Canis lupus familiaris: one gene and its partner. The protein of the gene in region 1 interacts with the protein of each later gene in a biochemical or structural test. Links are inferred from orthologs where the notes say so. Each region holds a gene or a part of one and is shown on either strand. Other genes may lie near its edges.

Region 1 (7,482 bases):
TCCTGGATCTCTAGTTGAGCTACCAGGTGACATTATGCAGAACAGAGGCTGTCCTGGCTGAACCCTACCCAAATTACAGAAGTGTCAGCAAATAATTATTGTTGTTGTTTTAGCCACTAATTTCTGTATTTTCTTTTTTTTTTTTTTTTTTTAATTTCTGTATTTTCTTAAGTAGCATTAGATAACAGATAAAGAGCTGACAAGATTTGTCAAGGGATTCAATATGGAGCATAAAAGGACAATGAGCCTGAAGTTTTAGACCTGGGTAAACAGATGTGAAGACTGTGCAACGAACAGGATTTGAGGATGGTGGGTGAGGCTTAGGATGAAACTCAGAAATTTATTTTTATTTTATTTTTTAAAGTTTTTATTCATTTATTTATTCATGCAAGAGAGGCAGAGACACAGGCAGAGGAAGAAGCAAGCTCCCAGTGGGGAGCCTGATACAGGACTTGATGCCAACACCCTGGGATCACGGCCTGAGACAAAGGCAGATGCTCAACCCAGGCACCCCAAAAGTTCCTTTTTAGATATAATAAATTTGACATGATTCTTGAGATTTATGAAAGGAGACTAGGTGAAATCTCTTAGGGCTTTTCAACTGTTCTGCTAAGAACCATGGTTAAAAATTTTTATAGTTTAGCCAAGCACAAAATGTATTGTGTATGTATGTAAAAACAAAAGTTCAGAAAATAATACTTACGCCTATCATTTGCAATGATACTGTAAGTTATTTGACCACCTATCAAAAAGAAAAAACGTACAAGGACCAAGTCCTTTCTCACTTCAATGTTTAGAGGTTAGAGAGAAGATGTACCAAAAGGGAGGATGAGAAGGAATGACTAGTGACATAAGAGGAATATCAAGAAAGAGGGTAACCGTTATAGAAAATGGAAGTGGTCTGAAGAAGATGGAAGTTGTGCTGAATGCCTGATGGCAATTAGGCTGAGAATTAAGAATTCAGTAATTTCAGTGGAATTATGACAACCAAAGCCTAACTAAATGTCAATCAGGACACATTGCTGGCTTTCCAACCACTAAAATGGATTCTGGAAAAACCATAAAAGAAAACATAGTATCTAAGAAATTAAACAGTACAAATGAAAAACTCAGTGAAAAAAGGCAGCTATTTTCAATGGGTGTGTGTGTTAGGATTAGGGGCTAGAGTTAGGGTTAAAAGAAAAGCAGTCCAAAGTCAGCTCTTTCCTCTTCCCCATTATCAACCTGAAAACAATCTCCTTGCTTCAGCAATAAGCAGTAATGGACTGCATGTACAACAAAGGAATCATTTATATATTGCTCACAGGAGTGTACATTTTTATAACTGGTTTGGAAAACAAGATGTTTTTGCTATAATGTTACTAAGAGGATATTCAATGACCACTGCTTTAGGATAAATAGTTAAGTGAAACTCTTGTATGTACATGTTCACCAGACACAAAGCAGCTCTCCCTAGAATTATTCATACTACCAAAAAAAAAAAAAAAACAAAAAACAAAAAAGATGGGGATCCCGGGGTGGCTCAGCGGTTTAGCGCCTGCCTTTGGCTCAGGGCGTGATCCTGGAGTCCCGGGATTGAGTCCCGCATCGGGCATCCAGCATGGGGCCTGCTTCTTCTCTGCCTGTGTCTCTGCCTCTCTATCACGAATAAATAAATAAATAAATCCTTTAAAAAAAAAAAAGCAATAACCCAACTTACTACTGTATCAGATCTAGTTTATGTGCCTTTTCAGATTTTCTTGAGCCTACATGCCTACTAGGCTTTGGCTGTGTGCTTACTGGAGAGTCCTGGCTACCACTTCTCTCACCTTGTCTCCTACCATTACCAGATCTTTTAATCTTTTCTAGGGTAAGGGCTGCACTTGGCATGACTAATGTGTTACACAGAAATGAGAGCTGTAACACGTCAAAAGCCTGTGTTCTGGTCTGTCTAGATCACTGAAGCTCTGGTTCTTTCCATCACTTCTCAGTTCAGAGGAAATGCTATACCATGGAGTATGGGAGCTGGCTTCCCTAGCATTTGCCCAGAGTAGCTGAGTAACAGTGCAGAAATTAGGGACAGTTACCATTCATGGAATAGACTCTATCTAACAAGAGATAGGGAGACAAATATTTTCTTTTCCCTGGATGGCTGGATCTAAAGTTTAATAGTGTCACATCACCTGACTGGAAGGCTGTCCTATATGTCAATTAGTGACATTTTCTTATGAAATTATAGCCAGCTCAGAAACATAATACCTTGTATTGACTTTCCCCTATTCTCTCCCTCACTTTTCATTTTCATTCACTCTAGCTTCTGAGATTACATCTCCCAATGAAACCTTAGCACGGTACCTTTTCTTCAGATGTTTTTCTAGGGAACATAGACTAGGATCATTATTGATGAAGACTGGATAAATAAACTGCAGTATAGATCTGGAGCTATATTATGTAGAGGTGAAATGAATAAATTTTTAGCTCTAGGCAACAATCTGGATAAATCTCAGTAAACCAATTCTGAGTAAAAAATAAAATTTAAAAGACTACATTCAGCACAACAGCCTTTTTTTTTTTTTTTGTTTTTTTTTCACAACAGCCTTTAAGAACATTTTCAGAACAAATTAATATTAAACAAGATATTTAGGCATAGGTATGTGATTAAACAATTTTTAAAAGCAAATGAATAAAAAACAAGTTGTTGATATTCTAGTTTTGATTTTAGCAGTCTTCATTATACTATAATTAAGTAACAAGAAAAAGAAAGTCACACACAAAGGGTGATACTGTGTTTAAACAATTCTGTGCATCCAACTCCCTAGCCCTTCAACAAAAAAGAGTAGGAAAAGGAAGGAAAAAAAAAAAAAAAGAAAGAAAAGAGAGAGAAGCTAGTAGAGGGGGAACAAAGGGGCAAATAATACCAAGAACCATTTTTCAGGTTTTGATTAAAAATTAGTGTTCATTCATTTAAATATTGTTTAAACATTTTTGGCAAGAAAAATTTCAGTTTTTCCAAAAAAAAAAAAAAAAAAGAGGAGACATGAAAATGATTTTTAAAATAACAGCTTTCTTATACTCACTGCTAAAAGTTTATCTCCAATCTGAAGTTTACCATCTTTATGTGCTGCACCTCCTTCAATTATCTTGGTTACATAGATGCTATTATCCCCAGGAATATGTTGATTTCCAACACCTCCAGCAATGCTGAACCCAAGACCTGTTTGGAAAATACTAGTTTTGAAATTTCATCATTTAAAGTATTTTTAAGTCCAGAAATGGTTGAAAACTAGAAGGTGACAGTCTTATCACACTCATGTTTTTTGGTTTTTTTTTTTAAATACAGACGAATCTATTTGTCTACTTTTTTTTTTTAAAGTAGCCTCCACCCCCAGCATGGGGCCCAGAGGGGGGACTTGAACTTAAAACCCTGAGATCGAGACCTGAGCTGAGATCAAGGGTTGGATGCTCAAGTGACTGAGTCACCCAAGCACACCTATTTGCCTATTTTTTAAGTCTTACGTGTTTACTTTGTAGTCATTGAACAATTTTTTATATAGATGTTCCTACAGTTAGAAATAAGTTCTGTCCTCTCTGCCCAGGTTACTTCTTAAGGTCTGTTTGTAAATGCGTTTGTTAGTTCAAAGAGGCATTACAAAATTATGTTTCAATTTTGTTCCCATCATGATTGTGTTTCTAACACTTTTAATACCTTCATAAGAGTAAAACAATTGAGAAAAATAATAAAATTTTTTGGTAGTAGGCAGAACTAATAGGCTTCACAATGTGGATAATTTTGTTCCTTTTCCAATATTCTATGAATTACTTTTATTTTTTTAAAGATTCACTTATTTATTTTAGAAAGAGAGAAAGTACACATGAGTCAGAGGGATGGGGGGTGGGGGAGGAAAGGGAGAGTATGAGAGGGTCTTAAGCAGCCTCTGTGTGGAGCCTAGAACTTTTTTTGAGCCTAGAGCTTTAAGCCTAGAGTTTGACATGCATGATCACATGACCCTGAAGTCAGGGCCTGAGCTGAAACTAAGAGTTGGAGACTTAACAGACTACCACTCAAGCGCCCCTCTGAATTTTTTAAAGAATTTCTGTAATTCATAAATTCCATAGCTTCAATACTAGACAAATTTGTAGCTTTCTATTCTTTTTTTCATTTGTTGGAATACTACTTCTTCCATAAAGTTACAAATTAGAATAAGTAATTATCCTCAATTCCATCAATGTTTTCAAAACTCAGAAATCAAGTATTAACTGTCCCCATTACAGATGAGGCTAATGACATACTCATAATTACTTCTTTCTTTTAACTTAGCCCGTGTATCTGCATTTAATACATTTTGTAGATTGATGATTACAAGTTAATAGCAACAGTATACATAAGTTCCAAGTGCTAAATAGAATTCTACCTAAGACAAAAATCAGCAGAAATTAAAGAGAAATTCTAAAAATCCACACAAGTTCTGTAGATTACTAGTACTGTTAATCTTAGAATGTGTGTCACTAGTAACTTGATAGTTACATTTATCTCAGTAATTTCTTACTTGATAATCTGTCTTGGTTTCACTATTCCATACCTTTAGGGCCTTTAATAAGCTTTATTTCCATTATTTTTTCTGATACTGGTTTCCGTCTTTTTACATACAAGCGTACGATAGACCCTGCTTCTTTCAATGCTTCAACTGCTTTGCTATGTGTCACATCACGAACATCTACTTCATTTACTCGCAATATACAGTCATTGACCCTGAGAAGAAACCCAAAATATTAAAAATAAAAATTAAATATTAAAATATAAAACTTACACATTGACAATTTTTTGTCATTTTCATTTTTAAAGTAGAGAATTATTTACTATAGAAAATATATACAAAAAAAATATATACAAAGAAACTTCAGGTTAAATTCCACCGTATCAAATAGTCATATAAATAATAAATACAAATATTTCCTGAGGGCCAACCAAATAAACAGTGCAGATAACAGATTACCACACAATAATATTAAATAATAATGATAGCTGTAATTTGTATGGTTCTTGTATGCTAATTATGTGTAAGCATTAAGATAATTACAAAAATAGCAAATATTTATTTAGCACTAACCACATGCCAAGCACTTCTTTGTGTTTTATTATTTTTTTTATTTTTTATTTTTTTAGTGTTTTAACCCTTACGACAACCTGGAGAAAGTAAGGCACAAAGAGTTTAGAATTTTCCTAAGGTCACCCAGATAATGACTGATAGAGCTGTGACTCACAGAAAAGAAAACTGAGGTTCAGATTGAGCAATAAGTTTAAGGTCACAGACACAGTGGTGGCAAAGTGGAGATAACTCATTGATTTATCCAAAAATAATTTGACTGCTTTTTCAATATGATACATAAAAAAAATAAAAGTTATATCTTGAAATTTATATGAAGCTAATGATTACATTACTTAATTAAAAGGTTCTTCATGTAAATAATTTATTTAAATTTGACACAGTAATATATTTTTTTTAAAGTTTGATTTGTTCCTAGTCCTAACTTCTCCCCTAGCTCTGGTCTCAGTTTAAATTGCATAGCATTTCATTAAGGGGAAAAATCATATGAAACTGGGCAGGGAAGGAGAACAAAACCCAATTAAAATATTAAAATTGATCCTGATGAGCTTCTTTGTAATTAGCTTTCTTAAGAGGAAAGAAACTTATGTGAAGACAGTTATATGTTAGAGTAAGTATTAAAGGTATGTTCTTTAGTGAAACAATTATTTGTGCTTAATTTTCACATAAGCACAAATAAAAACACAATTGGGAATTGTCTGCATTTACATGAATGGTCAAATTATTAATTTTATATCCAAATGATTTCATTAATAACATATCACCTTTTCTATCCAATGAGAAGTTTAGAAACTGAAGAGCTGCAGAAGGTATCAACAACCTTAAAACCAGACGTTATTTTTAACAGACCATATAGAAATCCTTAGTCCTAAAACTTTAGACTGTTACTACTTTAGACTGTTACTACTACTACTACTACACACACACACACACACACACACACACACACCCCCCAACAAAAAAGGGAACAGGAAAAGTGCCATAATCTATGGTCTAAGGAAACATGATTGTAGAAGATATCTACAATGGAACACTACATTTAAACAAGAGACCAGTATTACTTTCATTCATTCAATTAAGAAAATGTATCAATTTATTTAAACTTTGCATAATCTTTACTTTTTGTGGTATGGGATACAAACTCAGATATATATATATCATCGCTTGTATATCCTAAGTTTGTATACATGTTTCTTACCCAGAAAATAAATGGAAAACATTTTGTGAATATATTTAAAAATACAAAAGGCATTCTATGATTTCTATACATTTGCTTACAAACATTTAAAATAATCAAATTTATGATTCAACATGTTATAATATCAAATTCCTAAATGAAGAGGGAAACAATGTTTAGTGTACAATTGTCTCATTTGTTAGAGTATCTACCTTATGTTGGTTATTATGATAGTGCTTATTTGTATTGATGCCTTGGTTCCATCTGCCTAAGGAAAAATATACAAGGTATATTCACCATCACAACATTAAATGCAAAACATACCGTAATCTTCCATCTTGGGCAGCTGCTCCCCCTGCAATAATTTTGGTAATGAAAATACTTGAGTCATCTCCAATGTGTGGGTTGTCCGTACCTCCTGCAATACTGAAACCAAGCCCTGAATTTCCCTAGAGATAAAGGAAAAAAAAAATTAAGCCTGAATATGAATTACCTTTCTTGATAGATTCCAGTCATTTTAGGACCTAGGAACTGTAAATAACATGGGAACACATTTATAAAGGTGTATATATAGGGGATATGAAAATTCTAAATTAAGAAATATAAGGAAAGCTCTTTTTTTTTCTCTATGTAGAATTCAAAGGCATTACTTCTGAGTAAGTACTAAGTTCTTTTGAAGTAAAGTATGTGGATCATACTTGGATCAGTCACCCCTCTGCAAGGTCACTATTAGGTCTCTTTCTTTTAGAATGTATCTCACTCATGTTTGGTAAGGCAAATGTCTCCTAGGAGAAAAGTACTGAGGTGATCTTCCTGGTACAATTATTTCTGAGTAGGTAAAACTAACATTATCTCAGCCTTTTAAAAATGGGGTAGAGGGTGCTACTTTTCTTTTACTAACCTTTCCATCAGCTGACTTTAAAATGACCAAATTGTATCTATTAAAAGTCATCATCCTTGACATGTTTAACCAAGATACCTGGAGAGCAAACGGCATTTTTTAATTCCGAAAGTTCAACCTGAGAAGCCAACTGGTGAGTTTTCTTGTTAACAAAATCAATTTTGCCAAAGAGGTGCTACTTGTTACTTGTTTCACGTACTGGGTTTCTGAACAATATTTTCTTTGAAGAAAAGTTTCTACTGCTACCAAAAATCTTTAAAGACAATTGTTCTAATCAATGGTATTAAAAAATGTTTGTTTTTGCAAAAATGTTCTATACT
Region 2 (8,266 bases), on another chromosome or scaffold:
ATAGCATCCGCTTGCTTGACATCTCTGTCTTGGTTTCCATGAGAAGAACACCAGTTTTCAAACCCATCGACTCTGAAGGCTGAGAACAGCAGAAACTGTAATATTATTGCAGGCACGGCATTCAGAGATGGCTGTTCAAGAACCAGAGACCATCACACACATCAATTTACGAAATACAGGATTCCAGAACAAGCTGTTTTTTAATGGCATACAGGGTTATAATACCATAAGAGAGTTGATTTTGAGACTCCAATTAAAAAAGAAAAGTCAGCAACCCCCAGAATTCACACATAAGGAACTTTAAACCAAAAAAGAGCTCCATTATTGAGTTAGAGCAGGGTAAAAAAAAAAAAAAAAAAAGTTTCAGTCAAGTCAGGCAGCCAGGCAGGAGAGACTTCTGGAAAACAATGTGTCCTTAGTAACCTGCTCTAGGGCTCTATAGGCGAGAAGGATCAGCTCAGATCCAATCCCAAATGTGCATACATAAAGGAGAAATAATCCTTTTAGATCATTATCTCTTCTACTTGTGGCTGTTATATCTTGTATGGCTCTGGTTGACCCCAGAATACTGCGACATTTTCATTCCTACCCTCTACCATTAAAAATAAATAAATAACTTTCCTCTCCCTCCCGAATACTTGAGCTGACGTGCTGTATCAAAGTGGCCGGTCCACACGGTCCACACCTCACCAGCTCCCCCTTGGGCATCTGCAGCCTCCCAGACACTATAGGACTCACTCCAGACACACTGATCGGAAGAACCAGCCTAGAGGCCAGGCGTGGCATCTTCTCAAAGGCGAAGTCGGCCTGGAAATGTCCTGACAGTTGGGCCAATGAATTCAGCTGCAAGGGTTTAAACTTCTCTATCTTTCACGTTGGATGGCTCAGCTTTTGGGGATGCCAACTAACTCCAACCTAGGTCTTATCTTATGGAATAAATCCTGGAAGGCGCCCAAAGGGGAGAGCCAGAAAAATCTAAGAGCCCGTCACCATCTCTCACCTTATGCGTCGGCCTGGCCAGCCCAACCTCACAGGAAAGAAAGGATATTTTGATTGTGTGTGTGTGAATTTTCCTTCCCCTTTCTTCTTCCTCTCATCATACACTAGTTGCATGAAAGAGCAAAACTGAAAAAGCACGACACTTACTATACTCTGCGGAGGATATTCTATTTTCTGAATAAGGTGAAAAAAGGAGAGGGCAGTTCAAGGTCTTGCTGAGGTTCAAAGTTACTGTTTCTTGATTTCAAGGCAGCCGTGGGGCTTTCTATCCTTTTTAGTATAAGCTCCACTGTGCAAAAATGTGCATTATCTTTGGTATTTATTTTAGGTAGTCTAACTTAAAATTTGAGATAACCCATTAACATCATGGAAGAAAAAAAAAAAAAAGAAAACCCAGAGGCTACCATTTGGCTAGTGTTACATAATGCCCTTATGTAACCAAAGAGAGAGAGAGAAAGAGAGAGAGAGAGAGAGAGAAAAAAAAAATCAATTCTAGCAAACAAATTACTGGCCTCAAAAAATCAGGCTCTCGTTTTGGCAGCTTAATAGCCAAATACTTGCCACTTTGAAGCACATATCATGAGCTTTCAACAAAGTTCAACACTGACTTTTAAATTACACGAAAGAAGAACTACACGGCAACAAAAATACAATTTGTGTTCATGTAGTTAGCAGCTTTTCAAAAAAAATTAAGGCAGAGTCTTGCCTTTGTTATGCCATTAAAAACATTCTTGTTCCCTAAGGAGAAGCATTCTGGATTCGTCAAATACCCAACCGAGGCTGGCCTGCGAGTTCAAGTTTTGTAAAACACACAAAACGAAACAGAAAAACCCCATAACTTATTCTATCACATGTATGTGCCATCGGGTCATGGGGTGGGGGAGGGGGGAGAGGAGGCGTGTTGAGTGCTCTAAGGTTAAATCTCCGAGCTTACAGTCCTTTCTTCGACGCCACCGTACTCGCCTCGGTCCCTTGTGGCCACGTGCCTTGACCCACCTCTTCACCAGTACCGTCGTCTGAATAACTGCTTGGGGCCTTTGACCAACAGACTGTTAGTTGAAAGTCAATATTCCAGAGGAGGAAGCAGTCAGATCTCCGACTCTCGCCTTAAGGGCCTGGGCTCTAGAGGTACGCTTGCCTGGTTGTGAAGGTCTAGGTCAGGGGGCGTGTCCGTACTCGTGCTTTCTGGAACTCCATTTTCACTGTCATCTTCCTCTTTGCTTGTGAGGGCAACTTCGTTTTCGTAGCAAAAGGAGTTAGCATTTGAGAGGATGTATTTCTTTTCGGCTAAGTCTCTGGCACTACAGAGGGGCGTGTTGGGCACTTCGTAGGTCTTGTGGAACCTTGAGTAGTCCACTTTGTAGTAGTGCTTCTCCTCGAAGAGGACAGGCTCGTAGCGGTGGCCCCAGAGGATCTCATTCGCCAGATAGGAGCTACGGCACTGGGTGGTCATGGCCGTGGCCTCCACCATGCCCTCCAGTATGACAACGATTTCAAAGTCTGCATTGTCGATGTCCTGTTTGCTCAAGTCATATAAAGGACTGTCTTCATCTATCTCGTGGACTATGGTGATGGGGGACACCAGAAATATCCGGTCAATCCCGCTGTCGAACCCAACGTTGATATCTATTTGATCCAGGGGGATGTACTCCCCCTCGGAAGTGATTCGGGATTTGAGCAGCTGGGCCCTCACGTGGGCCTCCACCAAGTGGCTCTTCCGAAGGTTGCCCACCCGCCACATCAAACACAGCTTGCCATCTCTCATGGCGATCACAGCGTTGTGACTGAAGACCAGAGTCTCGTTCCTCTTCTTTGGCTTGGCCATCTTCGCCATGACCGCGCCGATGATGAAGGCATCGATGATGCAGCCCACGATGGACTGGAAGACCACCATGAACACGGCAACTGGGCATTCGTCTGTGACACAGCGGAAGCCGTAGCCTATGGTCGTCTGGGTCTCGATGGAGAAGAGGAAGGCCGCCGTGAAGCTGTTGACCTCGGACACGCAAGCCTTGCTCTCTTTAGATGCATCCAGATCGCCATGGAGCAGAGCTATCAACCAAAACACACAGCCAAAGAACAGCCAGGAGAGCACGAACGCCAGGCAGAAGATGACCAGCATCCACCGCCAGCGAATGTCCACGCATGTGGTAAAGATGTCTGCGAGGTACCGCTGTCCCTTCTCCCCCACGTTGATGAACTGGACGTTGCAGTGGCCGTCCTTCTTCACGAAGCGGCTCCTGCACTGCTGTCGGGTGTGGACCTTACTCTTCCCGTTCCCAAAGCCGTTGGCAACCGCCATGGTGGCCAACTTCATCCCGTCCTCTTCGGAAGAGACGATGCTGTAGCGGTTGGTCCGCACACTGCCCATCGCTCCTGCTGTGGACGCCAGTGCTTCGGCTTTGGAAAACAGTCTGAGTTTTTGCAAGACCCTTTGGAGAAACAGTTTTGAATGCTCGGTGAGGACACACACGCCAAAGAAGAAGGAGAGACGGCGGGCCTCCAGGAGCCGGGGCTTCTACCAACGTCTGTCTCCGGACATGCAGAGCCACCTCAGTAACTCAGCTGACATCCAGGGGAGGACGTGACCTGGAAACAACGAGACAAGACGTTATTCATCCGAAAAGAAGGCATCGGCAAGGGGTTCTGCTCTCTCGGGGGACATTTCCTAGCGGACGTACACCCTGCGCTGAGTTAGAAGGTGTTCTTAGCTGCTTTGTCCCCTGAACTGTATCTTTTATTGTACTTAAAAGCATCAAGTCATCGAACGTGGAAGAGTTTGGGACAGTCTTTCAATCAAAATGTCAGGTTCTTTTCCCCCTGTTTTCTTTTTTCTTTTTTTTTTTTTCCAGCAATCTAGGCGATTCTATTTTCCAGAGAAACCCCTCTTATCCTCTCTCGTGCCTACTCTGCTTGCTAGGGCCCCAGGTTGTCAAGCAGAAGGGAGACTGGCTGAGCAAGGCCAAGGTTTGTCACGAGGCTTTGGGAACTCAGACATGTCCAGAGGACCGACCGTTCGTATAAACGCAGAATATTAATATTAACTGAGCTGCAGGTGCATCGGGGGAGAATAGAGCGGAGCCCTCGAGGACACGGTGGAAATCAGAAGGCACAGACTATTTTGTTTAAATGATTAAACATTTTTTTTTAATCATTTAAAAAAAATAAAAAACCAACAACTGAGCAGACAGCCCTTAGAGTGATCTGAAATCGGTCCCAATTTCTGGAGACTGTTTGGGCTTGCTCCATCACTTCGCACGGCGCTAGCAGCCACTTTGCAGAAATGCCCGATAACATCTCTGTTACTGCAAGTGATTCTGACTTGAAGGCGTGGGTTTGCTCTGGGGGATAAAGAGCGAGTCTGTTGCCTAGCAATGAGTCCTGAAATTCTCCGGAGATGGGACTGCCATGTGTAATGACAGGCTAGGAAGTAAGCACCTTTGTGCCAAAGGACCAGGTCTTCAGCGAATTGAGATAAGGCAGGAACTCATTTCATGTGGGTCCAATTCCGTGTTTTCCCAAACAGAGACAACTTGGTAGGAGTAGATCACGACTGTCAGTCGGCTCACTTTCACTTCCAGTGCTGCTGTTTGCTCTAGGTTCCCATGGAGAAGGCACTCACCTTTACCTAACGTGAACCAATAATCGTTTTCAGTCTTCTCCTCTAGCCTCATCCTAACCCAGATAAAAACGATCTATCGCCTTGAACTTCCCATCTTCACTCCCAAGAAACTATTTTTTTTCCTTGACTAACAAAAGTGTCTAAGATAAAGTCCAAAGTGTCTCCTCTATCAAATAGAAATTAACAAAATGAACCCCGGCATAGAACTGAAAACCCAGAAGTGACTCTCCACTTGTCAAACAACCCAATCGATCTCCTGTAGGAAAGGAGGGGGGAGGGGGGCAATGGGAAACAGATGGGAAGGAGCAGAAAGTCACTGGAGCCCTGATTATGAGGACGCCACTTTTTCTTTCTCCACCCCCCCCCACAACCGCATAGAGATTAAGTAGTTAACAGAACCAATTTCAGCCGAGCCACCTGCCAACAAATAAAGCGAGTCATTTATCTTGTTTTTGCGCACCCCCCCCCTTCAAGAGAGGCAAGGTGCATTGTCTTTGAAAATGCCTTGTTACAGTCTTTTCACTTCTCTCTCCTTATCCAAGTTATTATGCAAGAATGTGCCCCAACACATTTTTCCTGAGATTAGTCATCTGTGAAAATTGCAATGTGTGTTACATTTTGGCAGCTTTTGACACGTAAATGATGCCCGATTTGAAAGTGCCTTTGAATTACTTTATAAAAAGAAGTTACTGTGCCTTCCTAGTCTTCCACCTGCTTCAATGTTTTGTCTGCTTCCCTATGAAGTTTGTACTTGGACAAAAGAAATAAGACTCCTATTCCTCAGGGTTCTAGATCCTGGACATGGAAAGAATTTTTTCAACAGTGACTTCAGATTACTGGGCTCATATGATATTGCCAAGGATTTCTACGCAAGACCAGAGAGAGATAACAATGCAACATCAGATGCAGGTGTACTTTCCAAAAAAGGGGGGAGAAGAGGAGGCCTCATTTAAATAGTGCTTGAATCCTTGAGGTCTGGATGACTTCAGAATCGTATATTATAAGCTGACACCAAGAAATTCCCTTTTCATGATTCAAAACAATCCTTCCATCTGAGTTACCATTAGGGACCATGAGTAGACAGTTTCAAATTTCTTCTGACTTATTTCTGCACTCTTTCCAGATTAAAGCATAACAACCATATGAAATCTAAAGACTGAATTACGACCCTCCAAAAATCTTGACCCTAGGACATTAGTTCGAATTCCACAAAACACACAATACCAGCTTCCTACCAATAGCTTTCTGCATTTGGAACTTTGAAAGTAGCCTGTATTGAACGACTATTATTGTCTTATTTCCACTGTTAATGACAGAATTTGTTCCACATGCGCAGCATCATTTACAAATTTTACCATTCTGCTGGAAAGGGGGAAAAAAAGATTTTTCTGGCAAAATGGAAGCTTTTGTCACTTCAAATAGATATGCTCCAAAACAGATTTATGTGTGTATATGTGTGCACACACTGTATGTGTATTTTAGAGTTTTGGGGAGCTGATTACATAGCAAAAATCTGGAACCTGCCACAGTTCGCTCGGGTGATTGTCTCAACATTTCATTATGAAGAAGGCCCTCCTTACTGACCTGCCCACATGCCCAAGTGGCTTTAGGCAAGCAGAAAACTTCCTTGCCTGCTTTTCTCTCACTAAAAAACACCGATTGGTGAGCATCTGGAAAAAAAACTTCCATTAGGAATAGGGCTTTCGTGCAACTTTATTTTAGGCATATATTCAAAATAATTTTTTCAGAGACATCTGATGAAGAATGATGAGAACACGAAGTGATCTGACTCCTTGATGGGTGCAGTTCAGGAGAATCCATATTTGATTTGAGGAACAATGTGTAAATTCCCCTCTCAGCCAAAATATTTAAGGGGCTGATGTCAATTTAATAGATACAAATAATCATTTTACCCAGGCTCTCACCAATGAGGTAGAAAGTATTTCTGGGAAATTGAGAGGCTACATGTGGTGCTGTTCATGTTAAGACTATTTATAGGCTGAGCCAAAATTAAGCATAAGCAATGGAAAAAAATAGTTCAGCCATTTCAATCTTAGGTAGATGTTAAAGAGAGAGAGTGCTATAGATAAAATTCAAGGTCAAGGAGATAACACGTATAAATGAGTGAAAAGAAGTCATTTTTACCATATAGGAAATATTCCCAATTTGGAGTATAAAAAAACTAGAAAAATATCATTATGACGAATAGATGAGAATAAATGTGCCTCATAATATGGTCATGGTGTGCAGTGAATAAGAAAGTTTCTAACTAAGGATAGCAAATGAGGATAGTAAAAGAAAGTGTGCTGGGCTGACAGAGAGGTCTGCTAATGAGTGTTCAGGGCAGTTATTCCCCAGCTGACGCCATATAGACCAGCCTGAGTATGCTCTGGGCACATGTTGCTATGTGAGCACAACTGCTAGCAAAGCAACCTCTTAGAAGCTCAGTAAACAGAAGGGAGGGGGGAGGGGAAGGAAGGGAAGGGGCAGAGGGATCCACATTTATCTATTTGAGCACTCTAGCATTTATACTCAACAGTGCATGTAGCATCACTCAGCATTGGCAAATGCTGAGAAATATATATATTTGGTGATTAAAAAAAAAAAAAAGCCTGCAAAGGTCTATCTGTTCAGGTAATAATGTGGCCAATCTTCCATGCCACTGAAAAGTCATACAAGGACTCGCCAGCTACCCAGAGATTCTACAACTGGGGCTTCTGAAGAGAGTAGAAATACTGTATGTTCTTTAAAAAAGAAATAGAAAGAAAAAAAGAAAGAAAGAAAGAAAGAAAGAAAGAAAGAAAGAAAGAAAGAAAGAAAAAGAAAAAGGAAAAAGAGGCCCAATTCACAAGAGTTTAGTACTGATATACCTAGGCGATACCGATAACGTTAAAGAAAGTGCCATCAAAACAGGAGGGAGAGGGCTTAAAAGCAAAGTTAAATGACCTTGACCCCAACTTTGACCCCTCCCACCATCCCTGCAGTAACGTCCTCTTTACTCCTGAGCCTTGAGATTTTTCCAGCTACTGGCAAATATAAATAAAGCACTTGGGGGGGTGGGGGTGGGAGTGAGTTGGTAAAAGCTTAACAAGTGTACAGGTAAGATACAGCAGATCTAGGGCAGTGGTTAGTGAGAGGAGATCTAACAGCCTATTGATCACTAATGTGAAAAGAAAGCAAGGGGTAAAAGGCAATATGCATTCTTTGCATACCCAAAACACGTTTTCAATGCCTTGTTTCCTAACAGGTAAATTCTGAGTTTATGAAAATCCCCAGGATTCACAGCCGTATCCTAGCTACCATCCCACTGGGTAGGCTCATCCAGACACAGACATTAAACTGCCCATTTCCTATCTCGATTTTTTTTTTTCAATTGTCATGACGAGTCTATGTTATGATGCAATCTTTGCAGAATCAAGTCTCTTTGACCTCTGTGCTTTCCTGAAACCACGCTGTCTTCAACTTAGGTATCAATACGATCATTACTACGAATAAGACGTTGCTTGGGAGAGAGTGACATAGGATGTGAAAGTTTTGCGGTCTTCGGGGCTCAAATCCAGCTCGGGCTCGCGCTCTCTTTCCCCAGCAAAGCAACTTTGAGACGCTCGCTCCGTTTGGAACTCGAGACGCTACACTTGAAGCAAT

Evidence for each region. The genes of interacting proteins can lie anywhere in the genome.
Region 2: the proteins of DLG1 (region 1) and KCNJ2 form a complex in vitro, tested with the Homo sapiens proteins (2 studies listed by BioGRID and IntAct, with this or other methods). The link is inferred for Canis lupus familiaris from reciprocal best matches to the Homo sapiens genes DLG1 and KCNJ2.

The regions. Positions count from the first base shown.
Region 1 is NC_049254.1:30,809,340-30,816,821, forward strand, and holds part of DLG1 (disks large homolog 1), read right to left. Parts: intron 6,711-7,482; coding exon 6,586-6,710; intron 4,730-6,585; coding exon 4,560-4,729; intron 3,194-4,559; coding exon 3,057-3,193; intron 1-3,056. UniProt on the Homo sapiens protein: Essential multidomain scaffolding protein required for normal development. Recruits channels, receptors and signaling molecules to discrete plasma membrane domains in polarized cells.
Region 2 is NC_049230.1:10,424,720-10,432,985, forward strand, and holds the end of KCNJ2 (inward rectifier potassium channel 2), read right to left. Parts: intron 3,589-8,266; 5' UTR 3,371-3,588; coding exon 2,087-3,370; downstream 1-2,086.